7 linked regions of the Ovis aries genome follow. The protein of the gene in region 6 interacts with the protein of the main gene of each other region in a pairwise test. Links are inferred from orthologs where the notes say so. Each region holds a gene or a part of one and is shown on either strand. Other genes may lie near its edges.

Region 1 (3,346 bases), on a different chromosome or scaffold from region 6:
CCCGTCTGCTGTGGCTGGCTGGCACTCCAGTCCCTGGGGCACCGAGTCACCTTGGGAGCTTGTTGATGATGCAGAATCCCAGGCCGCACTCCCAGGCCACCTCATCCAGGCAGCTGTGGTGTGGCCCTGGAAGCAGCATTTTTATAGGCTCCTCTTCAGAATTCTGGAGCAGGTGTTCCGTGATCCACTCCTGGAGAAATGACACCGAGGAGCTCCTACTCAGTACCCCCTGCATGTCTTACAACCCCACCACCAACACACACACATCCCCTCCCCCCCCGCCGCAAGGCAAGCCCCACAGAAGTTCCTGCTTCTTCACTTCCTCTTCTGCTCAGCCAAGGGGATGCCTTGCAAAGGGGACCCCTGATAGCTAGTCTGAGCCCATGTTCCCTTCAGGGCCTTTCTATGTCCTGAGGCACAGGGGTGTCCAGAGGCTGGGCCAAGACCCGTGCACACTGCAGACCTTCCTCCACTAGCTGCCTGAGCAATGCATGTTGTGGAGAGGGCCACCAGGCAAGGGCCTGAGAGGACCTCTAGTAGCTGTGAGCAGCCCCTGGTCAGCGGCTGAGTGAGAAAATGCAAGGAAATGAATTCTACCCAGGACCTGAGGGAGCCTGGCTGCAAATCATCCCTTCGTCAAACCCCCGGATAGGGATGCACTCAGTCAGAACCTAGATTTCAGCCTCATAAGACCCTGAGCAGAGGATTCAGCCAACCTGTGTCTGTCTAAACTCCTACCTACTGAAAATGTGGGATAGTGAGTTTGCATTACATTCAGCTGCTAGTTTGTATAATTTGTTATGCAGTAACAGAAAACCAATCCAACGCCCAATAAAGTGATTTTTTAAATGGTATTAATACATAAGACATTAACTATGAGACCTGTCCTCACTTCAGGCTGGCCAGCATGCTTTTAGGAACAGGAAACCACTCAATGGAGTGGTTCTGTGCTTTTCTAGGGTGACCATTGTCTAGTCTGTGCTTATAAATGAGCAAGGCGGGGAGATCCAGCTGAGTGATCTCAGTGACTCCAGGTCTCACCTGAAGATGCTTTTGCTTAGCTCTGCTGCCCCTGTACTATCATCAGTCATGTCCTGCTCTTCATGACCCTGTGGACTGTAGCCCGCCAGGCTCCTCTGTCCATGGGATTCTCCAGGCAAGAATACTGGAGTCGGTTGCTATTTCCTTTGCTCTGGCCCATGTCCAGTCTCAGAAACCTGTCTGGATATGTTGACGCAGAAAGAGGCAGAGCTCAGGCAGTAGATGGAAGCCAGTGAGAGTAAGGGAAGCAACTGCGTGTAGGGAGTGCATGGGTGGGATCTGGAGCCAGCTGCTTGGGGTGGAATCTCAGCTTCACTGCTTATAACGTGTGTGATTTAACCTCTGGGAGCCTCATCTGTGCACATGATAACAGTCAGGACCTCATAGGGTTGTGAAAATGAACTCAGGTAATGGAAGTAAAGCACCCAGCACCATGCCTGGGATATAAAAATGCTCACTAATATGAGGGGTAGACCTGGAAAAAATCAAAACAGGCTCCCAGGGGTTGGGCGAGCCTCACTTTTGGAATGGAAGCCCTCTGATGAATGAAGGAGGATAAGCTGACCTCCAGAGCAGGGGAGAGCACAGAGTCAGTGGACCCGGCCTTGTACTAACCGGTCCAAACCATCCCCACCCCCGCAGCCTTCGTCCGTTAAATCCCTGCGCGCTGAGCGCCTGCCACGCACCTCGCTGGACCTCGAATTGGACCTGCAGGCCACCAGGACCTGGCACAGCCAGCTGACTCAGGAGATCTCGGTGCTGAAGGAGCTCAAGGAGCAGCTGGAACAAGCCAAGAGCCACGGGGAGAAGGAGCTGCCGCAGTGGGTGCGGGAGGACGAGCGCTTCCGCCTGCTGCTGAGGATGCTGGAGAAGCGGGTGGGTGGCGAACCGCGGGAACACAGGGCGCGCCGCTGCAAGGGAGGGCGGCGAGGGCCCTGAACGGGTCCTGCAGTTCTGTGACTCACTGAGAGTGCTCCCAGAGCCCCTCAAGCTCATCAGCAAAGGAAGCCAGCAATCCCTCCCCCAGGAAGCTTGATTCACTGTTTACTGCTGCCAGGTTCTTTTGCTGCATTCCCGTCTATGTGTGCAAGCCCTTATTACTCGCACGTTTATTCCAGCAGCTGGTCCTTCATCAGGCATACTGGGGGGCACTTTATCTACGCTGGGGCACACACTTGCACAGAGGAAATAAAAACGCTGACTTGCCCTCGTGCCTGCCTACCCAGTCCCACAGAGCACGTTTCTCCAAAGGGGAGAGGAGTGGGTCCTGGCCGGGTTTTATCCTGATGAAGACGCCTGAGGATACAAGCCTCCTGGCGTCTCATCCGTAGCGTAGTGAGCTGGGGAGATCTCAGCGTTGCTCAAGAAAAAAGATACAACCACAAAGGGGCCAGAGCATACGATGAGTTGAATTTGGGTGGCTGCTGCTTTCACAGGTGTGTATTTGGGAAGGTCTCACACTGCATGAGACGCCCCCACCCCCAGCCTCCAGAGGCAGCTGTTTTGGCTCCACTGCCTAGAGGGGACTCCAGGAGTTGGTGATGGACAGGGAGGCCTGTCGTGCTGTGATTCATGGGGTCGCAAAGAGTCGGACACGACCGAGCAACTGAACTGACTGACCTAGAGAGGAGGAGACCAGGCGAACTCCCAGGGGAAAAGGGAGCTGGAGAGGGGACCTAGACTTGGAGATGATGTGACTTGGAGCACCATGAGAAGTCTTGGGTTGGAGAACAAAGCAGCAAGAGTTTGGAGTCTTTTATAGTCCTGGGGTTTAGCACATCTAGACTAGCAGATGTTGGGTGCACTTTTAGGGGGTATAGGTAACAGGCAGGCTCTAAAAGTCTAAAAAAAAAAAAAAAAGAAAAACCAAACTGCTATTTGAGCTTCATTTAAAACAATTGGATGGGTAAAAATTTGTCTTTGACACCAGTGGGCTCTTAGCTAACAGATCCCAGACTGTGGTGAAGAAATAAAACACCATAGGGTTAACACACAGAGGCCATCTCTGCCTCATTCCTTTCATACCTGCCAGGATGGCTGTCCATGGCAGAAATGACAAGCTTTTGCTAGTTTTCTCTGCACACAGCCAAGCAATACAAGAGCGCCTTCCAGAGGGTGCCTCACTGGATTGTTGGGAGGGCCATTAGCTAAAATTCCGACTCTCAATTAAGGTGATAACATAAAGCAGGAGGTGGTGCTGGGCTTCCTAGGTCTGGACTTGTGGGAGCCTCAAATTGACTCTAGTAAATCAGAAGTTCCCCAAACATTTATTTCTTTCTTGTTTATTATATCAGAGTTATAATAA
Region 2 (3,500 bases), on a different chromosome or scaffold from region 6:
GCCCAGACCCCGGGCACAGGGTTCAAGGCCTCACCCCTCTCGTTCTGGCTGTGCCCCGTGCCAGTGGCGGGGGTGTGAAGGGCTGCAGCTGTATGTGCAGGACCCGCGTCCTGTGCACGTCCAGCAGGCGGGGGCCCCTGGGCAGGGTCAGTCATGGGGGCCCATCCAGGGCCTTGGGGACTGGAGGGGAGTGCTGGCTTCCTGCCCTGACTTGCGTGGGGGGCTCGCCCTCGACCCCCCAAGCCTGGTGAAGCCCGCCTGGGAAAGAGGGTGTCGGAGTTCACGCCCTGTGAGGGGCGGCCTGCCATTCGGGGTGGGAGCACGGGCGGCCTGGCCACGGCATGGCCCGCCGCTGCCGTCTTCTGGGGCCCAGGAGGTGCCACAGCCGCCTGCCCGGGTGTTCCGTAGACACGGTGATGGGTGGGCCCCTCCTCTCTCCGGGAGCTGTGTGGTCCCTCCTGTGCCCCCCGCATGGGGAGCGAGGTGACCTGAGGCTCTGCCGCCCCCATCTTCTGACTCCAGTGGGGGAGATGCCAGGCAGACAGCGGAGGGTGTCTCCCTGACCCGCTGCGTCCTGCTCTCCTGTTGCTAACTGGGGTGGCTGGGCCAGGCTTGACGCCAGGTGAGGAGGGCACCATGCGGCCTGGCGAGGGAGGGCCTGGCGCGTGGAGCTCTCGGGTCGGGGAGGCCAGGCAGCCGCGTCCTCCTTGGCCGTGTGGCGACGGGACCCTGGGCCAGTGGCTGTTAACGCTCCATGCCTGCCGCTTGCTCCCTTCCGGCCGTGTCAGCGACCGGAGTGACCGAGCCTCTCCACGGCCTGCCAGTCTGCAGCCGGACATTCCTGCGGGTGGGCCTGCAGGGTGTTCCTCTGTGTGGCCGGGGCTGGTGGGGCAACGCCTTTCCCTTCCTGCCTTGCATGAGCCCCTTCTGGTTTCCTGGGGTCTCCCCGCCACTGAACCCTCCAGGCCCCAGGTCCCTCTCTTGGACAGGAGTCTGGGCAGGCGGGCCCACAGCCCCCACCAGTGAGCAGAGGTCCCCCGACAGGTCTGGCCCCACAGCTGCCTGCTCTGGCCAGAGCCAGGGCCGACCAGGGTCTGTCTGGGGGGAACAGGCTGGCCTGTTTGGCCCGAGGCAGCGCCAGCTGCTCAGCCACATCTTCCGGGGGCACTGAGGCCCAGTGATCTGTGAGGCAGGCCAGCAGCTGCCACCTGGGCCCCTGGGACGCCGGCATGATCGGGTGATCGGGTGGGCGGTGGGCAGGGACTCAGCGGCTGTCACCCCCACCGTGGCGTGGAGACTGTTGCAAGAATGTCTCCCTGAAGCTTGACTGCTCTTGTGTGTCCGGAGGAAGGCCTGGCCCACTGCCGGTGGCCGAGCTACAAGCTGCCCCTCGGCCCTGACCTGCACTCTCTTCTCCAGCAGGATGCTAGCTCCCGGGGCGGCAGCAGTGGCCGCGAGCGCCTCATCGTGGAGCCCCCGCTGCCCCAGGAGAAGGCGGGGGGCCCGGCCATCCCCTCGCACCTGCTCAGCACCCCCTACCCCTTCGGCATCTCACCCAGCTCGGTGGTGCAGGACTCCCGCTTCCCACCGCTGAAGTAAGTGTGGGCTGGGGGTTGGGCACGGTGTGGGGTGGGACCCCCAAGGTTCTGGCTGCCGCGAGTCGATACCAGCTGAGCCCGAGAGCTGCCCGGTGGTGGCCGCGCCCTGGGCTGGCAGCCCTGCTGGCCGTTGCCACTTGTGCCCGCGGCGGGCTCTCTGCCTGCCTGACCCTAACCCCCCAGCCTGGCTCCTAGGGCCGGAGGTGGGGGGTGGTCTCCCCACGCTGCAGGTCACAGACCCGTGCCCTCTGGTGAGGGGTCAGGCCGGCCCGAGGAGCGGCAGCTGCCCACCTCTGGGCCCTGGGCCTCCGGCAGGGACTGCCATTTCGAGGAGGGAGGTGGTGGCGGGGGGCTGGGCGGTGGCCCAGGGGCCCGGAGCTCACCTCCGCCGCCCCCTCCCGCCCGCAGCCTGCAGCGGCCTGTGCACCACGTGGTACCCCCCAGCACGGTGACTGAGGACTACCTGAGGAGCTTCCGGCCCTACCACACGGCCGAGGACCTCCGCGTGTCCTCCCTGCCCCCGCTCGGCCTGGACCCGGCCACCGCCGCAGCCTACTATCACCCCAGCTACCTGGCCCCGCACCCCTTCCCGCACCCGGCCTTCAGGTGAGGCGTCCGGACGTCCCCAGCCACCCGCGGGCAGACCCCGGTCTGAGACCAGGTTCCCCGACGGGGGGACTGTGGGGTGGGCCGCTCCCCCAGCCTCTGGATGCGCCGTCCAGAGCTTACTCCTGGAGGGAGACTCTCGCGCCAGCTGGCCTCCCTGGCTCCTCCACTTCCACTCAGGATTCCCCAGGCGCGCGTGACTGTTAGTGCCCGGAGCAGACGGCGCTATGCCTCCACTCTGTGTAGGAGCTTCCCAGGTCAGATGGTCAGACCTGGAGGGGCCCCACTGGGCCTGGCCCAGCTGAGCTGAGGGGTGGCCGGCGGGGCCTTGTGGCCTCTGGGAGTGCAGGGCTTTGGGGCTGGCTGTGGAAGGGGGCTCTCCGGGACCTTTGTGGAGGCCCTGTCCGCCGCTCCCGCATTAGTACCTGTGCCTGGGGGGGAGCTGGGTCCTGCCTTCCTCTCCACCGTGGCCGCTCACCGGCCCCCTCTGCCCCCACAGGATGGACGACTCCTACTGCCTGTCAGCCCTGCGGTCCCCCTTCTACCCCATCCCTGCCCCCGGCTCCCTGCCCCCGCTGCACCCGTCGGCCATGCACCTCCACCTCTCGGGTGTCCGCTACCCGCCTGAGCTCTCCCACTCATCCCTGGCGGCGCTGCACTCAGAGCGGATGTCCAGCCTGAGCGCCGAGAGGTAAGCGAGCCCCGTTCGAGAGCGTGGCTGGGCCAGCTGTGCTTGGACAGCCACCCCTGCCCTCGGCCTGCTTGTCTGCAGAAGGGGCACTGCCGGGAGCTCCCAGCTGCTGTCTGGAGGCCATGTCCTCACAATCGCTGGCTGCGGCCGGGAGCTTTCCAGGCTCCTGGAGAGTCTCTGTCCACGGCTTTCAGTCTCCAGTGGACGCTGAGTTTTTTCTTGGCGTGTTAGCCAAAGCAGAACCTGGCCCGCGGCCCGTTCCCATTGGGGCGGGGAGAACCCCGGGCTCACGTGTGAGCGCCTCGCTCCTGGGGGTTCTCCCGCCACGGAGGTCACATCCCTGTCCTTACCTCCAGGCTGCAGGTGGACGAGGAGCTGAGGCGAGAGAGGGAGCGCGAGCGCGAGCGGGAGGCCGACCGCGAGCGCGAGAAGGAGCGGGAGCGTGAACGCGAGAAGGAGCGCGAGCGCGAAAAGGAGCTGGAGCGCGAGAAGGAGCGTGAACTGGAGCGCCAGCGGGAGCAGCGCGCCCGCGAGAAGGAGCTGCTGGCCGCCAAGGCACTGGAGCCGGCCTTCCTGCCCGTGGCCGAGCTGCACGCGCTGCGGAG
Region 3 (4,061 bases), on a different chromosome or scaffold from region 6:
TAGTATGATCTCCAGTTCTCAGTTTCCACTCAAAGAGCAAAAAATAAAAATTGTTAATAAGACAGCAATGGTCATGAGGCTTAGAGATAGGGAAAAAATAACTTGAAGACAGAAGAGAACCAGCCCAAGAACAGCCCATTCTTTTTCTTCCAAGAACAGAGAACAACGCCTGTGGAACAAACAGGAATGGATTTAAAAAAAAAAAAAAAAGATTAGTAGGATGCTGTGACTGCAAATAACAAAAGATATGCACCCTGTTGGTCATGATAACACAAAGCATGTACTAGGAAGTCATCCGTGTCTTTCCCAAGGTAAAACAGAATCTGTGATTTTATTACCAGCAGACTGTACACCCTTCCAGAAATATAGAGGGTGTAGTTCATACTTTGGCTGATTCTATCCTCCAAGTCAGGGCAGTGAAGCCCACAGCCCCTCCTAAGAATCCATAATCTTTGAAAACTACAAACTGGGATGAGGGAGATTCATTTTGAGGTAAATTCTAACCTGAACTCATCCTACTTATGGTCGTTAGTGGGAATGATCACATTCTTTGCTTAAAAAATTTTTTTAATGTGCTTGAACCCAAAAGGTTCAGATAAGGGATTGTGGACCTGTACTAAAACGCTCCCTTACTACGCAGCCACACAAGTCATTTAACCTTGCAGCCTCCGCTTCCTCATCTATAAAATGGAAATATAACCCCAACCTCTCAAGATTGCTTTGATGATTAAATAATAAAGCATCCTAAAGGCCTTAGCTCTGTGTTGGTACATGGAGGGCACTCACTAAATACCGACTGTAATACGGCTGGAGTACAGGCTTAAAGTCCATGCTTTCAGACCTGGAGATCCTGCCCCGACAGACCAGAGCTACCTCAGTCTGGCTCACCTGACTGTGAGAACGGACTGCCCTGATGCACACAGCACCGGGCGGCCGCCGGAGCTGGCCAAGGAACACAGTCCAGGCTCTCCCATGCAGGAGTCCGAGCTGGGGCATCTTGCGGCAGGAAGCAGGATTTCCGGAACAAGAGGCAAAGAACCTAAGAATGAAGCAGACAGGACCCCAGGAAGGGTTACAGGACACTGTGGAGGCGAAGCCGAGCACCAAAGATGAGATAAGTGCTTCTACACTTCTCAAACCTAGCACACTAGCTCCACTCTTCCCCGGCTCCCGCCCGGCCTCCGCACTTCCGGTAGGAGCCGGAAGTAATTTTTTATTGGGCGGTGGCTCTCTAGGCATATGGGCCAACTACTGGATATCCGGAAGTCCTCCGAGTCGAGGCTGTGGCCACCGCAACCTATCTAGCCAGCAGTCAGCTCCAGTCGGCAGCAAGTATGGCCGATCGTGCGGCGCTGGAGGATCTGGTGCGAGTCCAGGGAGAGCGTGTGCGGGGCCTTAAGCAGCAGAAGGCCAGTGCCGAGCAGGTACGACCCAGGCGGCGGGAGAGAGGACAAAACAAGGCCAGCGAGGACAGAGCGGGGGTGGTCAGCTCAGAGGATAGGGATCTGGAAGAAGGGACTGGACTGGTATAAATAGCAGGACGAGCTGAGTGGGGAGGTAGTTGGGGTAGGATTTGGGAGAAGCAAAGCTAGGAGAGAAATATGCTCCACATCCTGATGAGGAAGGGATACTGAATGAATGGCGGGAGCGGGAGGGAGTGGCAGATGTGGTAATCCAGCTCCTGCTTTCCCTCCACAGATCGAGGAGGAGGTGGCAAAACTACTGAAACTGAAGGCACAGCTGGGCCCTGATGAAGGAAAACCGAAGTTTGTGCTCAAAACCCCCAAGGTAAATATAATTCCTTTAGGGAGCCTCCTAGAGGGTCCCTAATTCCACTCACAGGACTCATATGCCTGCCTCCCTGAACCAGATCACTGAGAAGGATCTGAAATGTTGCAGAGGATACAGCAGTTGCTCTTGGCGCCAGGCTGAACTGGACTCTTATCTGAGTCATTCTGGGATGACAAAGTGATGGAAGAAACTAGGCCAGCTGGGTGCTTCGGGGAGTCTACTCCTCCTTTCATTCAGTAAATATTTACTGAGTGCTTACTGTGTTCCTAACAGTGTACAAAGCAGTGAGTGTACCATGGTGAACAATGTAGCCTGCCCTCAGAGAGCTTGGGCTTCCCTGGTGGATCAGTGATAAAAGAATTCATCTGCAATGCAAGAAACATGGGTTCGATCCCTGGGTGGGGAAGATCCCCTGGAGAAGGAAATGGCAACCCACTCCATTATTTTTGCCTTGGAAATCCCATGGACAGAGGAACCTGGTGGGCTACAGTCCATGGGTTCGCAAGAGTTGCACACAACTTAGCGACTAAACACCCACACACACAGAGCTTACATCCTGCAATGGAAACAGACTTGGGAAGAAAAATAATCCCACACATGGATATGTAATACAAGTTGTGTTAAGTTATGTAAAGAAATAGAAGGGATGCTCTGAGAAAAATAAGGGAGAACTGCAGAGTCTGAGGAAATAATAAACTAGTTGATCTGTAGATGAGTGGGAGACAGCCAGGTGAAGAATGTGAGGAAGATAGGTCCAGGCAGGGTAGGGAAATCCTGAAGCAAGAAAGAATCTTGGTACTATCCAAGAACTAGAAAAAGACTTTATGTCTGGAATCAAATAGGGAGGGACAGCAGAGTGGAATGAAGTTGCTAGCTCAGCCTCCATGATTTCAGTTCAGGTGACACTTTCTGTGAGTTCTATAAACCAGACTACTTACTCATCATCTAGGTACCCTTGGCACTTCATAAATACTGTTATTGCATTTATTGCTGACTTTTCAGTATTCACATGGTTGATTTAACCTGAGAGGCTGAGACTAGGTACCTGGGACTAAACAGGTATTCAATGAATGTATGTGAAATTTACTTCCACAGTAGGAGATGATTTGTCTTCCTTATGTGGAGATGTCACCTTTTAAGAGTAAATCTTTGGGCTCCTAAAATCACTGAGCTATTCTTTTCTACATGTAACTCATTTCAAACATTAAAAAGACAGTGTAAAAACCCAAGGCAGTAACCATCAATAGCTATTCAAACTACTGGGTGAAAAGATTAATGGGGATTTATTGATTGATCAGGCTGGCCTCACCTAAACCAGCATTTCTAAAAGTAGGACAACCAGATATTATATTCCACCAGATGTGATGCAATAAGAAGTACACACCACCACCTATGAAGTGTTCTTGCCAAGGACAACTGAAGCTGAATCTAAATCAGTTTTCAGATCTAACTACCAGTTTACTAGAAATATGGGAAATGGAGGAACACATGTTAAATGACCACCATTGAGTTTACTGTTAACCAAATCTAGAATGAGAAAAATCCTTTCAGAAAAATGACTCAATTTCCTCAACAAGAAAGGATAATTTAAAAAAAAAAATTGTTGCAGATTAAATAGACATGAGACACATCAACCCAGTAAAAGGCCTGAAGTTATTTAGAATCTGATTCAAACAAGCCAAGCATAAAAAGATATGACTGCAGCAACTGGGAGTAATAAACATGGTTTGGGCACTATCTAAAGGGTTGCTGTTAAGTGGACTGATCATAAGTTGTGTTGATTGTAAGAAAGGTATTACAGCGTTTTGTTTTTTAATCTTTGTATGTTAGAAAATCATACTGAAATATTTGTGATGATGGACCTAAAAAAAAAAAAAAGAAATATTTGTGGATGAAAGTATATGATATCTAGGATTTAATTTAAAATACTCTAGGAAAAAATGCTGGGCTTAGTTAAAAAATAGCAGATGTTGATAGTTGTTCAAGCGGGATAGTAGATACCTGGTGGTTCAGTGTATTATTCTCTATAATGTATGTTTGAAATTTTCCATAATGTTAAAAGAAAATGTGGATATAGTCAAGAGTTAATATCCACTCTAGTTTGTTGAAATACATTTCTTGATGTGTGATTCTTAGTTAACAAAAAACTCAATATTACAGGGAAAGGACTCTTTCAAGGGACCTTCCTGGTCAAAATTATTTTCATAATGTTACATGCCCTTTTCATTTCATTTGCAATGAAGGTGCAAAAGCACTGGTGTGTAGAACTG
Region 4 (3,991 bases), on a different chromosome or scaffold from region 6:
ATTCTGCCTTGAGTGCGTGTGAAATGCGTTTACTCTCCAGTAGAATGCAGCAAACTTTGCACATATTCATGGGCAGAATCTGGTGTCATACAGCACGGGAGCGAATGCTGGTGACTTTGGGCAAGTCACCTCCCGTATCTGTTCCTGTTCCTTCACGGGCACTATGTTATGGGTTTGCTGAGGGGTATTCTGAGTGCTTATTACCATGCTCCGTGCTAAGCTTAGCTTCGCATTCTTACTTGAGCCCCCAAGAGCTCCCTCATTCCTGAAGGCCCCTACCCTGCAATACTTTTTCCTCACAGCACTTATCATCTTCTATCATACATAAATTTCTCATTTTGTTTATCTTTCATCTTCCCCTCCTAGGGCCTCTTGCCTTGCACAGTTCCAGAAGGCACCATTCACGATGCATTCTGAGCTCTGCTTGGGGCTGATTTTACTGAGATTATTACCATGACTAGTGCTGACTTCCCAGAGTTGGGTGATGTGGAGACTGTGGAGCTCCAGAAGTGGGGAATCTTTTTTTTTTTTTGCCTAGTTTGATCATTGCCATGTCCCCATACCCAGAACGATGCCTGACCTATATTAAACTGAAATACATGTTGAAAGAAAGAATGAAAAAATCCTCCAAAAAGAACCATTTTACTGGTGAGGAAACTGAGGCTCAATGAGTTATTGATTTGCCCTGCGTCCTGCTAAACCCTTGTCCTGAGGTGGCTGGGTTTCCAGCAAGCCTGCTCCCAACGGCTTTGCAAAGCTGCATGTCTGAGACACTTGGCATTGTCCCTGCCGCCCCATAATGCTCCACAAATATTAATGAGCTTGCCTACATGGATCAGCCCCTCTCCTCCGCTAGACAATCAGGCAGAGTGACAAACTGTCACATAGCCTTTGCTTGAGAAATTGAATTAAATTGCATGTTGCAAGAAAAAGGTGGACCTTTTGGAGTTTTTGGAGGAAGAATTCCTAACCCAACTGCCAATGGTAGGAGTCTTCAGGGGCCTCTCAGGCCTCCCCAGCCCAGTTCTTTTTCCTGCCTCCTTCCCTTTTGTGAGCCTTTCTTCCTCTTTTTGCTTGCAGTGAGTTCTGCTCTCCTGTAGGCTACAATGTGTCAGTTGTTATAAAATCCGGGAGGTGGAGCTTGATGACGAGAGCGGTGGGGGAGCGCTCAGCCAGCCCTGCAGGGCGTGCAGTCCAGCCTCCGGTTCACCGGAGCTTAAGTCTTGCAGCAGGAGAACTTCCACCTCGCTCTCCTGGCTTTGAGCCTCACTGTATATTGGACCAGAGGCGCCGAAGGGAGGGAGGATGCGAGATGATCGGCCCTTTGGCAACCTGACCATCTCTTTAACAGAGCCTTGGAAAACCAGCCGGAGGCTGACTGCAGGACCAAGGAGGCGCCGCGCCTCTTGTGGATGTGTGTGTGTGTGTGTGTGTGAGTGTGTGTGAGAGGGTGAGCGGGTGTGAGGGTGTGTGAGTGTGCATCACGACTGCGTGTGTGCATGGCTGGATGAGTGCACCAGTGCACGCGTGAGTGTGTGACTGTGTGTGTGTGTGTGTGTGAGAGAGAGAGTGTGTGAGGGTGAGTGCTCTTGGTTATTATTTTTTTGGAAGAAAAATCTTGAAAATCTTGGGCAGGTTACTGTGCTCCTAGGGTGGTGGTTCTTCTGCAAGAGGAGTTGACCAGACCAAGCTACTTGAGACATTTTTCTCTCCGAGTAAAGAGAAATTTCCTCTGAGAACGAGAGGGATTTTTCCGCTGGCTCTGCATCTGAGTGAAAGAGATTAGCCCCCTACACCTGTGAAATCGACCAGAGCCGTGTGATTACTAGGGTTGGAGCGAGGACTCAGGAAGAAAAGGAGCAATAAATCCAACAGCCTGTCAGTGCCTTTGGCCACATTGGAAGATGTCATCTCAAACTAAGTTCAAGAAAGACAAAGAGATCATTGCCGAATATGAAGCCCAAATAAAAGGTGAGATTCGGGCTGGGGAGTCATGCCTCCCCTCCCCTTTCCTTCTCTTGCTTTGGCTTTTTTTTCCCTCTTTTCCTCCCTGCCATCATGAAATGTTGTTATGCATCAATAATCTTATTGTGAGGAGGAACAGTGGCAGCTGCACAAGTCCGGACTGGTTTCGACTGCAGAGAGCGCTGGCGCTGGGAGTATGGACTGTAGAACGGGCGGCGATCACTGCATTGCAGGTGTGTGAGGAGGATCCTACACCCGGCTTTAGGAGTGTCTCAGATACTCCATCATCTTGGCCGTGGCATGTTACTCTCAGGCCATTTTGACAGTCACTGCCAAAGACAGTCACTACCTCCTCCCCCCGCCATGCAAAAATCCCCATAATAAGATGTATATTTTTTGTGATCTGCTTTTTTTTTTTCCTCTTTCTCCTTTCTGTTTTTTGTCGTTGCTTTGCCTCTGCCCCTTTCTCTGGTCTGGAATTCACATGCGTATACTATGGGAAGCAGCATCCCTGGGCTGCACTTCTTTGTCGGGGTTGCCATGGATTAACTGTTATGGAGCATATTGATCCAAACTAATGCAGGCATTTAGGCATAAAGAGGGAGCTCAGTGCAGAAAATGTATTGTCTCGCAGTGTGTGGCCCCCATCACTGTCTGTGCGTTAGTGTTTAGGGTCATCAGCCTTCATTGAAAACCAGCAGTTCAGTGTGCCGGCTGGTAGATGCTGCCTGGCTTCCGTAGTGCCAGTGAAAGCTGCCAGGAGGCTGAGATGACCTCTGGCTGCTTGTTGCAGCTTCAGTGCCACTCACGGGGTGCACACTCCTCTCAGAAGCCGCTCCCTAAATCCACACTAGCAAGGGGAAAGAGGAAACCAGACACAATTGCATAGACAAATTCAGGTAGATTCCTTGTTCAGGCCAGACTGGGGCTTCTCGCACCCTTGTGAGTCCTAGGCTCAGCTTTGGCAAGGAAACCATGAAAGCACCATCCAGCATGCTCACCGTTTCTTTTAGGATATACCCTAAGGGAATCCTGGGCCTCTCGGCATCTGATTTCCTTCTGGTCATGGTTCTCCTTGCTGTGACATAGGGTGTGTTGTGATCTCTTGTAGAAAGAGTAAGGACCGAGTACATCTTCAGGGGATGCTGATGCCTGCCCCCACCCCAGGACTATTGTGCAAGTTGGTTATTTGTTGCTCTGGTGACCTGAGGTTCCACACCTACTTCTAGGTGCTGCTGCTGCTCAAGGCTCAGTGACCCAGGAAGTCGGGTGGCTTCCCCAGGAGCGTTGGGAGGTCGCGCATCACAGCTGCTGTCCATGCTTCAGATGCTTGGGAAACTTTGGGAGGGGAGCAGCCCATCAGGGGAGAGCTTTGTTTTTTTTTTCCAGCCTTGCCAACCGTCTTGTGTCTTTTAGTTCTGGTCAAACCCAGCATGCAAATCACCTCTCGGTAGACCCCAGGGAGAAATGAGCAGAAAACCCTGCTCTTCCCTGGGCTCCTCCTCTGCAGTTTTCAGTTCACTGTGGAAAACAGTGACTTACAAGGTTTCAGCCTTGCTGAAAATTTAGAAATCCACCGTTTTATTGGTCAGAGATTTGAATTCTCTGACTGCTCAATACAGAAGCCTGCACGCTTTTTAGGGAGTTTATGTTCTGTAAGACTAATCAGGCTGATATTTATTTTTTTCTTTAAAAACTGAGTTTCCCATGAAAAATGCCATCAGAGAGAAGGGTAGGCGGAGCTTGGGATAGTTTGGGGTTTTTATAAGCATCGGCTTGGTAGGAAATGTACTTATCTCATTTTGAAGGATTGCTACCACTGGACCGTGAACTCTGCTTGAAGATCAATTAAGCATTTGTAGCTCTGAGTGATTCTTTTACTTTTTACCTTTTGTGTTTATTTTAACGTCTAAATAGCAAGGGCAGGGTAATGCATTTCAGCAGGAAATTTGTCCAAATGATCTTATCTCTTCTAAACTCTAAATGTCTTTGCATTCTGGTTAAAAGAGTTTCATTTTATTCCTCT
Region 5 (3,500 bases), on a different chromosome or scaffold from region 6:
AGAAGATAGAAAAGCAAAGGCTTAGGAAATCTGGGAATGTGTGCTTGAACCCCACCTGCCTGACTTCAGAGCCTTGAGAAGGCTGAGTAGGGGCCATGATTATCTTAGCCAGTCCCAGGGCAGCACATACATTATGCAAACCCATTGCCTCTCACCCACCCCTTCCAGGAAACGTGGTCTTTGGTGAGCCCATCACTGCCAGCCTGGGCACAGATGGGACCCATTACTGGAGCAAGAACTGGGCCAAGGCGGCTGCATTTGTGACATCCCCACCTCTGAGTCCTGACCCGACCACTCCAGACTACATCAACTCCTTGCTGGCCAGGTTGGTGCAGAATGACAAGCAGTGGGTGTTGCGTGGAGACGTCTTAGGGCCAGTGGAATGGAGACCAGGGCCACCCATCCATCAGCTAGACTAGAGTCTGCAGTAAGAAAAGCACATCGGGAATTCCCCTGCAGTGCTGAGCACAGACAATGGGCTCTCTGCCATTGTATTTTAAAAGATACTCTAGTAATCATTTTAGTAATGGTAACAGCAGTTAATACACATTGTTTGCCAAGCACTAGAGTGAGATTACATATGTGATCTCAATGTTCCTTACAACAAACATCACCCTGAGTGAGGAACTATCATCACTGTTTTACAGATTGAGCCTACTGGAGGTCCAGGAAACAAATCACTTCCCTAGTTTTAACAGCTGGTCATGAGGACCACCGAACCAAAATTATAGGGAGACTTGTTTGCTGCTGCCCTCTATGGATAAGTCCCATCACTCGTCTGGGTCCCTTTTTTACTGTTACATAAGAAGTGATCTAATCCACTCCCCTCATTTTCCAGATGGGGTAACTGAGTCCCAGGGAGTGAAAGAAATCACCCAAGTTCACAGTTGGCAAGAGGGAGGGGAAGGATTCCAAACTCAATGCACGGCACTCCACATCCTTACCCTAGACTCTTGTTTCTGGGCCCCTGGGGAGCCTCTAGTCTCCTAGTTCACATGGATCTCTTTCCTTGGCCAGTGGAGACCTGCAGCTCTCTGGGAGTGCCCACTGCACCTTCAGCACTGCCCAGAAAGCCATCGGGAAGGACAACTTCACCGCCATTCCCGAGGGCACCAACGGTGTGGAGGAGCGCATGTCTGTCATCTGGGACAAGGCTGTGGTGAGGATGGAGGTCACAGGAGGGCAGCTGAGGCCAGATCAGAGTGTCTGCTCCTTGCTCCTCTCCACCCCTGGGGGCGCTGGGTGTGCAGATGAGGCCTCGTACCTGCCCAGGTATCTCTGGAACCAGGTGGTTTGTGAATGTCCCTTCTAGAGTGATGAGTCCCAAGGGCTGGGTTCTCAGGAGGCCTCCTAGATTGTGAAGGACTACGAATTGGTGGTGCTAGTGGTAAAGAATCAGCCTGTCAACGCAGGAGACGTAAGAGATGGTTCGATCCCTGGGTTGGGAAGATCCCCTGGAGAACAGCCTGGCAACCCACTCCAGTACTCTCACCTGGAGAATCCCATGGACAGAGGAGCCTGGCGAGCTACAGTCCATAGGGTGGCAAAGAGTTAGAGATGACTGAAGCAACTTAGCATGCATGCACGTGAACCAGAAACACATCCTTCATCTGATGGTACGAATAAAGGATTGGCTATAATCCTTTGACATGATAGGTGAGGGGTCTGTGACCAAAACTCAAGTCATTTGCTCACCAAGAACGGCCTGCACTGGGCTGTGTGGTCATCCAGAGTGTACAGGTAATTGTCAGAGTCTTCTGGCAAAGTGGTGTGGTTTTACTTTCCTTGTTAACATCAGAGAAGCTGACAAAAAACATAGCCATGCAAATGAAGTCACTTCCTAAGATTTAACTGACCTTTATAAAACTCATTATTAAGTTGATCACTTCCCTCTGTTTTATTTAAAAAATCCTAGACACTCATTTCAGAGCCAAATAAAATACACATCTACACCATGTAATCCAAGTTTCCTTTTTTTTTTCCCCCTCTTGGTTCCCAGGAAGGTCAAAACTAGATTTTAAACTAAATTCTTTCCTTACCCAAGCTTTCTGTTTTGAAAAGGGGGAAAGTATAAATATTTTTGTCTCTTCTCATATAAACTTTTTTCATCTTTTCTTACATTTTTATGTATTTATGAGTATATGTGTATATATAATTATTTTGGCACTATCTGGAACTGCTAAAAGGTAATACATATCTTAAAATTACTCACATGATACCTGCTGAATAAAGAACACTTGGAAACCACAGAAAAGTTCACACATTAAAAAAAAAATCACTCAGAATTCCATAACCCAGGGATAACCATTGTTTTCATTTGGGCAAGGTTCTTCCATATTTATTGGGTGCCTATGCAAATAGAAATATCTAAAATATGGGCTCACAGTTACATTTGCTTTTACTTTGAAATCTCTATAATCCCTTTTGGACTTAGAAGGGATAAATAAGTAAGTAAATGTATGTACATATCTGGAAAAAACATGCATACTTCCAGAGCAGTAAATTCCATCCTAAGCCATGCGGCCATGCATTTGTCCATTTTGTCTGGGTGATCCGGACAGCCCAGAGCTACAGCTGATTCTTCTGTAGCTGGGGTGGACTTCTGTGCTTACCACTTCTGAAGCCCCTCTTTGTATTTCTGGGCCTAAGCCCACCCAGTGAGCTACAGAATCATTGGAAGGACTGATATTGAAGCTGAAACTCTTAATACTTTGGCCACCTGATGTGAAGAGCTGACTCATTTGAAAAGACCCTGATACTGGGAAAGATTGAGGGCAGGAGGAGAAGATGAGATGGTTGAATGGCATCACTGACTCAATGGACATGAGTTTGAGTAAACTCTGGGAATTGGTGATGGGCAGGGAGGCCTGGCGTGCTGCAGTCCTTGGGGTCGCAAAGAGTTGGACACGACTGAGGGACTAAACTGAACTGAACTGTGGTCACCCTGCTCTGAACTCAGAAGCCCTGGAAGGATCATTTTGTGTGTGTGTGTATTTTTACAGGCCACAGGGAAGATGGATGAAAACCAGTTTGTGGCCGTGACAAGCACAAATGCTGCCAAGATTTTCAATCTGTATCCTCGCAAGGGAAGAATATCCGTGGGCTCTGACAGCGACCTGGTGATCTGGGATCCAGATGCTGTCAAGATTGTCTCTGCCAAGAACCACCAGTCGGTATGGCCTGAGTGGGTGGGCGTGGAGTAGAGTGGGGAACATGGGTGGGGAACAGGGACAGGAGAGATGTGAGTTTGTGGTGATCCAGGGTTATTGGGCGAGGATGTGTTGCAATAACCAATCATCCTGAATTCCCAGGGATATAAAAGCTCAGCAGTTTATTTCTCACTTCTGCTTTGCAAAATAGGTGGGCAAAGAGGGGCTCTGCCCATCACAGTCACTCAGGGCAGGGGCCAATATAGGCACCCTCTCTACCTGCGCTATATGACTGCTGAGCCTGGGGACCGGGATGCGGCCCTGAAAGCTTTCCCCCTGCACTGGTCAAAG
Region 6 (3,500 bases):
GCTAAGTCGCTTCAGTCGTGTCCGACTCTGTGCGACCCCATAGACAGCAGCCCACCAGGCTCCCTCATCCCTGGGATTCTCCAGGCAAGAACACTGGAGTGGGTTGCCATTTCCTTCTCCAATGCATGAAAGTGAAAAGCAAAAGTGAAGTCGCTCAGTCATGTTCGACACTACATGGCAGAGACGGGGATTCTCCATCCCCCCTTCCCTGCAATGCTTTTGATTATCATTGCAGGTAAATAATTATTACTGCTAAGTTCATTTCCTCCCTACATTCTCTGTAAGCAGAAAAATGTTAGCTGTATTCACAAGATCTCCTTTCTTTGGACAAAATACAACGTTTAAGAGGTTCCAAGGGAAAAGCACATGTTTTGCAAGCCACTGACCATTTATTGGGCTTCCCTGGTGGCTCAGCAGGTAAAGAATTCACCTGCAATGCAGGAGGCTTGGATTCGATCTCTGGGTCGGGAAGATCCCCTGTTGGAGGGCATGGCAACCCACTCCAGTATTCTTGCCTGGAGAATCCCATGGACAGAGGAGACTGGCAGGCTCTAGTTCATGGGGTTGCAAAGAGTTGGACACAACTGAAGCAACTGAGCATGCATGCACGACCACTTATCAGTTATTTTGGAGCCTTAATGTTATTAAATTAGTATCTCAGAGGGAACAAAGGACTGCTTTTTATTTGACTAGAGAAACACAGTTCTCTTTCTTTTGGGTTGATAGAGGGAAAAAGACTTAAAGTTGAAATGATGCTTGATGTACAGAAACTGAAATTCTAAACAACTTATCTCATGAACACAGCCTAGAAGGCAGGGTTCAAAGGAACAAGAAGCCCTGATAACTGGAGGTTTACTATTGCTTGGAGAGGAGGACTGGTAAAGTTCAGGCTGGCAATCCAGCCTCACATTCCTTTCACTCCCTGGTCACAGTCCACACAAGGGGTCCTCAGTCCTGCTCACAGCACCGGCTCGGTGGTGACAAGCTGCTGGACAAAAAAAAATTCAGAGCTTCTGCAACTGGCAACTCCACTCAGAATGAGCTAGCTTCTTTGCCCTCCAGAGGTGAATGTTCTTAGTACAGTTCTGTCTTATTTACAGACTGACTCCTTCCTAAGGCTTTTCATATGAAGAGAAAAATGAAAGCCTTATGATCAAAACCATTCCATATTTTAGGATCTGTACAAATAGTCATAACCTTCATTTCCAGTCTCTTTTCTTTGACTAGCAAGAGACTGTCCTCTTATGAACACAATGAAGAATAAAACAGTACCCCTAAGTTCCTTTTTATAGTCTCAACAGAGGCCATTTGCTATTTCAGCTGATCCTAAAAAGGAGTGTACTCATGAAACATGTGAGGGGAGTTTGATGAACGACAGCAACAAACAGCATCTGTTACCCCATAAAATCTGCTGTGATACTGTAAGGATATTGTTTATTTTCCAGCTTCTGTTCAGACCTCTACACCCACCAGTAGGTGGATGCAACTTCCTGATTGTAGGAATATACATGGTTGGTAAAAAATTCCAGAAGAGCAAAGAGCATCACTGTATTTCAGTGACACTCCACAATTCCAGAGATGACTTCCTCATGAGAACTAGTCCTTTTGCAATTTGCCAAACTAGGACAGCTCTGCAGCTGGTCACTATGGCACTTCTTTGCCAATTATTTTCTTTCTTTCTTTTTGGCTGAGTTGGGTCTTCATTGCTTTGCCGGGGCTCTTTCTAGTTGTGGCGAGCACGGGCTTCTCACTGTGGTGGCTTCTCTTGTTGTGGAGCATGGGCTCTAGGCCTGCAGGCTTCAGTAGTTGTGGCTCACAGCCCCTAGAGCATGGGCTCTGTAGTTGTGGTGCATGGGCTTAGTTGCCCCAAGGCATGTGGAATCTTTCCAGACGAGGTATGGCACTGAACCTGTGTCCCCTGCATTGGCAGGCTGATTCTTAACCACTGTACCACCAGGGAAGTCCTCTTTGCTAATTACTTTCTACTGTCTCAATAGTCCTCAGGGCACATTTCTTTCTTTTTTTAATTCATTATTTTTATTTAATATAAATTTCTTTATTTTAATTGGAGGCTAATTACTTTACAATCTTGTGGTGGTTCTGCCATACATTGACATGGATCCGACACGGGTGTACACGTGTAAATTGGAGTATAGTTGCTTTACAATGCTGTGTTAATTTCTACTGTAGAGCAAAGTGAATCGGTCACACATATATGCATATATACTGTCTTCCTTGGATTTCCTTTCTATTTCGGTCACCACAGAGCCACAGGGCACGTTTCTTGACCTGATGCTAAAAATCATCTCAGATCAGGCCACTTTGTTTGGCTGGCTTCATCACACGGTCCCTGAGGTTAATGGTCAGGGGTACCACACCCAGACTTCATTTGTAGTTTTACTCCCACATTTGAAAACCTGCCAAATAAGGTAAGCCAGACTGGCTTCTGCATTGATTCCGTGATTCATTTGCTCATTCATTCATGAGCCCACATTATACACTGGTTTCTGTGAAAGGCTACTGAAGAAATAAAAGACTTGCCTCTGGCCCACCAAAATTTACAGTCCGGGTGGCCAGTCAACATGCCTTAGAAGTGAAAAAAGAACAAAGGTGGTATTTTAGGAAAGCAGTAATGACAACGGTAGGTGGGGCTCTTCCCTTCACCTTACCCATCTTCCTTCCCTTACCTTGCTCTGATGGGTTGAGATCCTAATCTGGGTCCCAGAGCACTACCATTTCCAGGAGAATTCTTTCTTGCTAATGCTGGGGATATAGAAGTTGTTCTTTGAGGCACCTGAAAGGAAACCAGAATTCAGAAATATTTTCCATAAAATAACTTCCATGTGGTACTGCCTGAAATGCAGCCTACTCCTTTCCTAGGATCTGCCAGGAGACATGGAATGATCAGAAACAGGAAAGAAACATCTCAAAGAAATACTTAACTCCCTAAACAAAATCAAAGGAAAGGCAATGAGGCACATTTTAGCAACTATTAATGAGTATTGCCTTCAATGTTAAAAACAAATTTAGAAACACAGCAAGTGAATTACTTTGATGTACAGGGCTAAAATAATTGCCTTCCTTTGTGTGCACAAGAGTGGTGGACACCAGAAATTTCTTTGGGGTATCATGAACTCAGTTGGCCATTGGAAACTGCATCTGATGACAGTCATCCAGATAAACAGAGTTCCATTTTTAACTCACAGCACAACTAATAAACAGATGAGGAAACTATGAAATCTGGTGAGAAACTAGGGTATCAGACTAGAACTTGGGACATAAGCTCAGTGAGCTCAGAGAAATGACTGGAATAGGTCCTAAATATTTCCACTTGCTAACCAAGTTGCAATTGCTAATTCAAAACAAACTCCTACCACTGTGATTCCAGAGGTCAATTTGCAAATGTAATTTAAAACACAGGATTAATAATGAAACTGCTGGAAGGTCTTCAAAAAACTATGTAAGTACCAGTTAGACTGTGAACTACAGTTGGAAATTGT
Region 7 (3,988 bases), on a different chromosome or scaffold from region 6:
CTTGAAAATAATAGGTTTGTGTGTAGTTTGGTAAGAAAATTAGAATAATTTAAAGTTGTTTCAGTTTCAGTCTACAAAAATAGAGACTCAGGGGGATGGGGAAGAAGAGCAAACAAAATGTACCAAAAAATACAGATTATGTAATAAAGTATATATTTGTTGTTGAGTCACTAAATCATGTCGGACTCTTTTGCGACTCCATGGACTGTAGCCCCCCGGTTCCTGGGGTTTCCCAGGCAAGAATACTGGAGGGGCTTGCCTGTAGACACTCAAGAAGGGTGTCTTGATGTGCTGGAAATCTGATGGCTTAGTCCTTGTTGCATCGCAATATCTTGAAGTCTCAGTTTTTTCATCCATGGAGTGGAATCATGGTAATACCTTCTACCTGGAGGCGCTATTATAAGGATTAAGGGGATGAATATAACGCCTACACTATAAAGCTTTTTGAAAATAAGGCTTGATAGGTGTATTACACTTCTGAGTCTTCAAAGTCAGAGAAGAGTACAGGAAAAAGGGTCTAGAAAGGCTTTAGAAGCTGACAATCTGGGTTCCAATTCCCATGCCACGACTAGGAGTTTCCACACCTTGAAAAAAGAAATGCACTTAATCCTGCTTCCTCTTCTGGGGAAGTGAGGCTAACACCACTTCACAGAATCAGATGAGAGAAAGGAGGCAAAGGCACCCACCTTTGTAGATGTTGAATGCCTTCCCCTGCAAACTACTTATTAATGTCATCGACAGTAGAAGGTTTTCACACTGTGGCATCATTCCGCACATACGGACCCTAAGACAAGACAGGACAGATAAGGAAAACTGAGGTGAATCCAAATCGGGGAAGAGCAACAGCTAGACCGGGCGAACGTCTTAGTTCCCTCGTAACCACTTTGAGGTTAGGGTATCCACACAATGAAGGCATTCAGAGTTGGAGAGGGGACCAAGTCGAGTGCCCCTTTCGACTCCGTGGACTCGACGGGAGGGACCCTGAAATTCTTCCTTAGAGGCCGGTTGCCATGGCGACGGTCTCTAGGCAGCTTGGGCTGCTCTCTCAGTAGGGCTAGAGGGTGGGCCTCCGCCGGACCCCGCGCGCGCGCCCGAGACCAACTTTCCCTCCAGACCCGCGAGGGGCGGCGCGCTCCGCCCCCCGGCCCCGGGCCGCGCACGTCCGGGCTCGGCGGCGCGCACGCCTGCGGGAGCCCTCTCCAGGCAACCTAGTGCTGATCGCTCGTGCCGGTGCGGCCGTTAACCGCCCTTGCGGGAGCCGGAGGCTCGCCAGCAGCCCCCCTCCCCTTCCCGGGCCTCCCCCACCCGTTTCCCCGGTCGGCCCTGGGGCATGAGCAGCGATGGCCGGCTGCACCCCTGAGGAGAAAACTTACCGGCGCTTCCTGGAGCTATTCCTGGGCGAGTTTCGCGGACCGTGCGGCGGCGGCGAGCCCCAGCCGGAACCCGAACCCGAAGAGTCGGAGCCCGAGCCCGAGCCCGAACTGGTGGCGGCTGAGGCGCGCGAGGCGTCGGTCGAGGAAGCCGGGGAGGCGGCGGCCGCGGGGGCCGCGTCGGAGGAGGGGGAGCAGGAGCAGGAGCGAGAAGACCCCGAGCCCGAGGAGGAGGCGGTGGAGGAGGAGGCGGCGGCGGCGGCGGGCGAGGAGGCGGCGGCCCGGGGGCAGTCGGCCGTGCCGCCGCCGCAGCCCCGGCTGCCGCCGCTGCCCCCGCTGCCGCGGCCACTGTCGGAGCGCATCACCCGCGAGGAGGTGGAGGGCGAGAGCCTGGACCTGTGCCTGCAGCAGCTCTACAAATAGTTAAGTAGCGGGGCTCGGCCGGGGGGTGGGCCGCCGTCCCCGCCGCGCCGGCCTCGACGCGGCTCCCTCTGCCGCTCGAACTGCTCGCTTTTCCGCTCCTCATTCCCCCGCCCGCCTCACGCCGGCGCCCTGGCGAGGCTGGAGGCGCCCCCGCTGCTCGGACTCGGGCGGTCGGCGGCGAGATGCCCACGCCCGCCGCGGCCCCCGCGCCTCCCGCCGGGCCCGGGAGCCGCCCCCCGCGCCCTCCCGCCGGGCCCCGGGCTTCCCGCTTCTCCCTGGCCGCCCACTTCTTTCTCCACTTCTCACACCTTTTCTGCTTGGTGCCTGGGAAGGTCCTTCCTTCTAGTCTTGAGAGCTCCCTCTTCCCAGCCCTCTCCTTCCTCCTGGAGGTTTTCCTCCCACCCGGGTCTGTCTTTTTCCTGGCGCGAGTCGCCCCCCCCGCCCTGTTGTTTGGCGGCGGAGAGACGCGGTCTCCTTTCTAGGCAGGAGCTGCTTACTGGGTGCCTCCTGCGTAACCGCAACAAAGATGATAATCCCGGCCCCAGATCCACAAGAGGGGAGACTGGAGTCGATATTCTTCTGTTGGGCGCTCAGTGTTGAAAGTGTAGATGGCTTAATATACGGAAGCCTCGTATCGTAGTTTAATGATACTTGATAACTCATAATTGAGGGAGGTGGGAAGGAAATGAGGAGGGACGATAAGGAAAATTTTACCTGCGAGCCTTCAGGTGAAAGACAGAGTCGCAATTCGTTAAAGTGGAAAACTCTGGCTGGTTTGATAAAATTGCAATTAGGTGCAGTATTTTCAGTCCATTAAGTAGATGGGGTAGAGAGAAAGCAGATGGCTTAGCTACACAGATGAAAGTCTAAAATAGAAAGGTCAAGGCTTTGCCTTTCATCCCAGTTTTTATGGGCCTGAAATAGAAGCAGTTTACAATTGCGTTTCTTTCTAAATGGAATTGTTCTGAAATAATGACAGAGGAGAATACTAACAAGTTTCTGAGAACACTGGTAAATCTCGGGAGCCTTTTGCCATTCTGCTGATAGTTGTAATGAAAGATGTTACTCTGTCCCCATCAAAAAGTTTACTATTGCAAGATTCACTGCAGTTAAGATCACTTCTTGGATTTTTTAAAACGCTTAGATTAAGAAAAGGACCTGGAAAGTAAAGGTTTTGTCTTCTTCCAACCTAACAGACACCTGATCAAATCATTCTTCCTGTTAAAACAGAAGCTTGTCAACAAGAAAAAACACTGAACATATATGCTGTAAAAGTGGACTGTGTTGATACTTTATACACTATTGAAATTTCAATTTTGAAATCCTATCTGGTTACCAAAGTAATACTGCTTTGGGAGAAATGTGAAATGGCATGTAAAAACATCTTAGGAGTATTTCTTCCTAGTGTTTGTAAACAACTGTAGAATGGAGTTTATGAAATATCATTTTTAATACTATATAGACACTTAAGACTTCTCGCTTAAAATAAAATGGAATTGTTTAATGAAGTGGAAAGATTTATCTTAGCATCAGACTAACTCTACTTTGACAATTTTACCTTTACAAATGAATTAAAGAAATACACATTTAAACATTAGAGAAGGTCCATTTCAAAAAAAGAGTTATTAGTTTAGAAATATGTACCATTCAAGGTTTTGTAAAAATGAAATCTGTATGAAGATGATGGTAGGTAGATGTGTGTTTTGCCACATGGAAGGGAAGCAAGATTTTCAATACATGTATAAACCAGAAAAGTATTCAGATTATAAAATGACCATCTAATTGAGAAAGTTTAGATTTGAAGTAAAACTAGCAAAATTGAAGTTGGAAAACATTATTTCACCTTAAATCAAAGATTTCATCATGTATACTGTTTTGTGCAGAAGCTATTATGTTTTACTCAGATATAAAATGCCTGGCTTGTTTATGTAAAGTATCTTCAAGGTTGTTAACAGACAGAAAAAAAACAAAACAAAACCCAAAAACCTAAAAGTCTCACAGTTTAAAAACACATACTTTTTGTGCTTTATTATTTATGAAAGAAAATCATACAACTTGGCCACAAGAATAAGTACTGGAAGGCATTGTAGAGATAGATCGTTTTCCTGTTCGCTTCGTTTTACAGAAGAGAAAACTGAGGATCCCGATTCAGAAATGACAAATTATGTACAAATGGTTTTCCAGCATTTTTAAAT

The links.
Region 1: the proteins of TNIK (region 6) and WWC1 interact in a two-hybrid assay, tested with the Homo sapiens proteins (2 studies listed by BioGRID and IntAct). The link is inferred for Ovis aries from reciprocal best matches to the Homo sapiens genes TNIK and WWC1.
Region 2: the proteins of TNIK (region 6) and GSE1 interact in a two-hybrid assay, tested with the Homo sapiens proteins (2 studies listed by BioGRID and IntAct). The link is inferred for Ovis aries from reciprocal best matches to the Homo sapiens genes TNIK and GSE1.
Region 3: the proteins of TNIK (region 6) and HARS1 interact in a two-hybrid assay, tested with the Homo sapiens proteins (2 studies listed by BioGRID and IntAct). The link is inferred for Ovis aries from reciprocal best matches to the Homo sapiens genes TNIK and HARS1.
Region 4: the proteins of TNIK (region 6) and SRGAP3 interact in a two-hybrid assay, tested with the Homo sapiens proteins (2 studies listed by BioGRID and IntAct). The link is inferred for Ovis aries from reciprocal best matches to the Homo sapiens genes TNIK and SRGAP3.
Region 5: the proteins of TNIK (region 6) and DPYSL3 interact in a two-hybrid assay, tested with the Homo sapiens proteins (2 studies listed by BioGRID and IntAct). The link is inferred for Ovis aries from reciprocal best matches to the Homo sapiens genes TNIK and DPYSL3.
Region 7: the proteins of TNIK (region 6) and PPM1E interact in a two-hybrid assay, tested with the Homo sapiens proteins (2 studies listed by BioGRID and IntAct). The link is inferred for Ovis aries from reciprocal best matches to the Homo sapiens genes TNIK and PPM1E.

The regions. Positions count from the first base shown.
Region 1 is NC_056058.1:78,063,658-78,067,003, forward strand, and holds part of WWC1 (protein KIBRA), read left to right. Parts: intron 1-1,683; coding exon 1,684-1,917; intron 1,918-3,346. UniProt on the Homo sapiens protein: Regulator of the Hippo signaling pathway, also known as the Salvador-Warts-Hippo (SWH) pathway.
Region 2 is NC_056067.1:11,173,734-11,177,233, forward strand, and holds part of GSE1 (genetic suppressor element 1), read left to right. Parts: intron 1-1,419; coding exon 1,420-1,595; intron 1,596-2,006; coding exon 2,007-2,204; intron 2,205-2,703; coding exon 2,704-2,895; intron 2,896-3,251; coding exon 3,252-3,500.
Region 3 is NC_056058.1:49,476,055-49,480,115, reverse strand, and holds the start of HARS1 (histidine--tRNA ligase, cytoplasmic), read left to right. Parts: upstream 1-1,261; 5' UTR 1,262-1,334; coding exon 1,335-1,424; intron 1,425-1,698; coding exon 1,699-1,788; intron 1,789-4,061. Other genes in the region: histidine--tRNA ligase, mitochondrial, read right to left, coding at 889-996. UniProt on the Homo sapiens protein: Catalyzes the ATP-dependent ligation of histidine to the 3'-end of its cognate tRNA, via the formation of an aminoacyl-adenylate intermediate (His-AMP). Plays a role in axon guidance.
Region 4 is NC_056072.1:17,301,278-17,305,268, forward strand, and holds the start of SRGAP3 (SLIT-ROBO Rho GTPase-activating protein 3), read left to right. Parts: upstream 1-1,191; 5' UTR 1,192-1,904; coding exon 1,905-1,971; intron 1,972-3,991. UniProt on the Homo sapiens protein: GTPase-activating protein for RAC1 and perhaps Cdc42, but not for RhoA small GTPase. May attenuate RAC1 signaling in neurons.
Region 5 is NC_056058.1:56,340,365-56,343,864, reverse strand, and holds part of DPYSL3 (dihydropyrimidinase-related protein 3), read left to right. Parts: intron 1-168; coding exon 169-325; intron 326-1,017; coding exon 1,018-1,159; intron 1,160-3,002; coding exon 3,003-3,173; intron 3,174-3,500.
Region 6 is NC_056054.1:217,053,465-217,056,964, reverse strand, and holds part of TNIK (TRAF2 and NCK-interacting protein kinase), read right to left. Parts: intron 2,795-3,500; coding exon 2,688-2,794; intron 1-2,687. UniProt on the Homo sapiens protein: Serine/threonine kinase that acts as an essential activator of the Wnt signaling pathway. Recruited to promoters of Wnt target genes and required to activate their expression. May act by phosphorylating TCF4/TCF7L2.
Region 7 is NC_056064.1:9,415,059-9,419,046, forward strand, and holds the start of PPM1E (protein phosphatase 1E), read left to right. Parts: upstream 1-1,188; 5' UTR 1,189-1,340; coding exon 1,341-1,792; intron 1,793-3,988. UniProt on the Homo sapiens protein: Protein phosphatase that inactivates multifunctional CaM kinases such as CAMK4 and CAMK2. Dephosphorylates and inactivates PAK. May play a role in the inhibition of actin fiber stress breakdown and in morphological changes driven by TNK2/CDC42.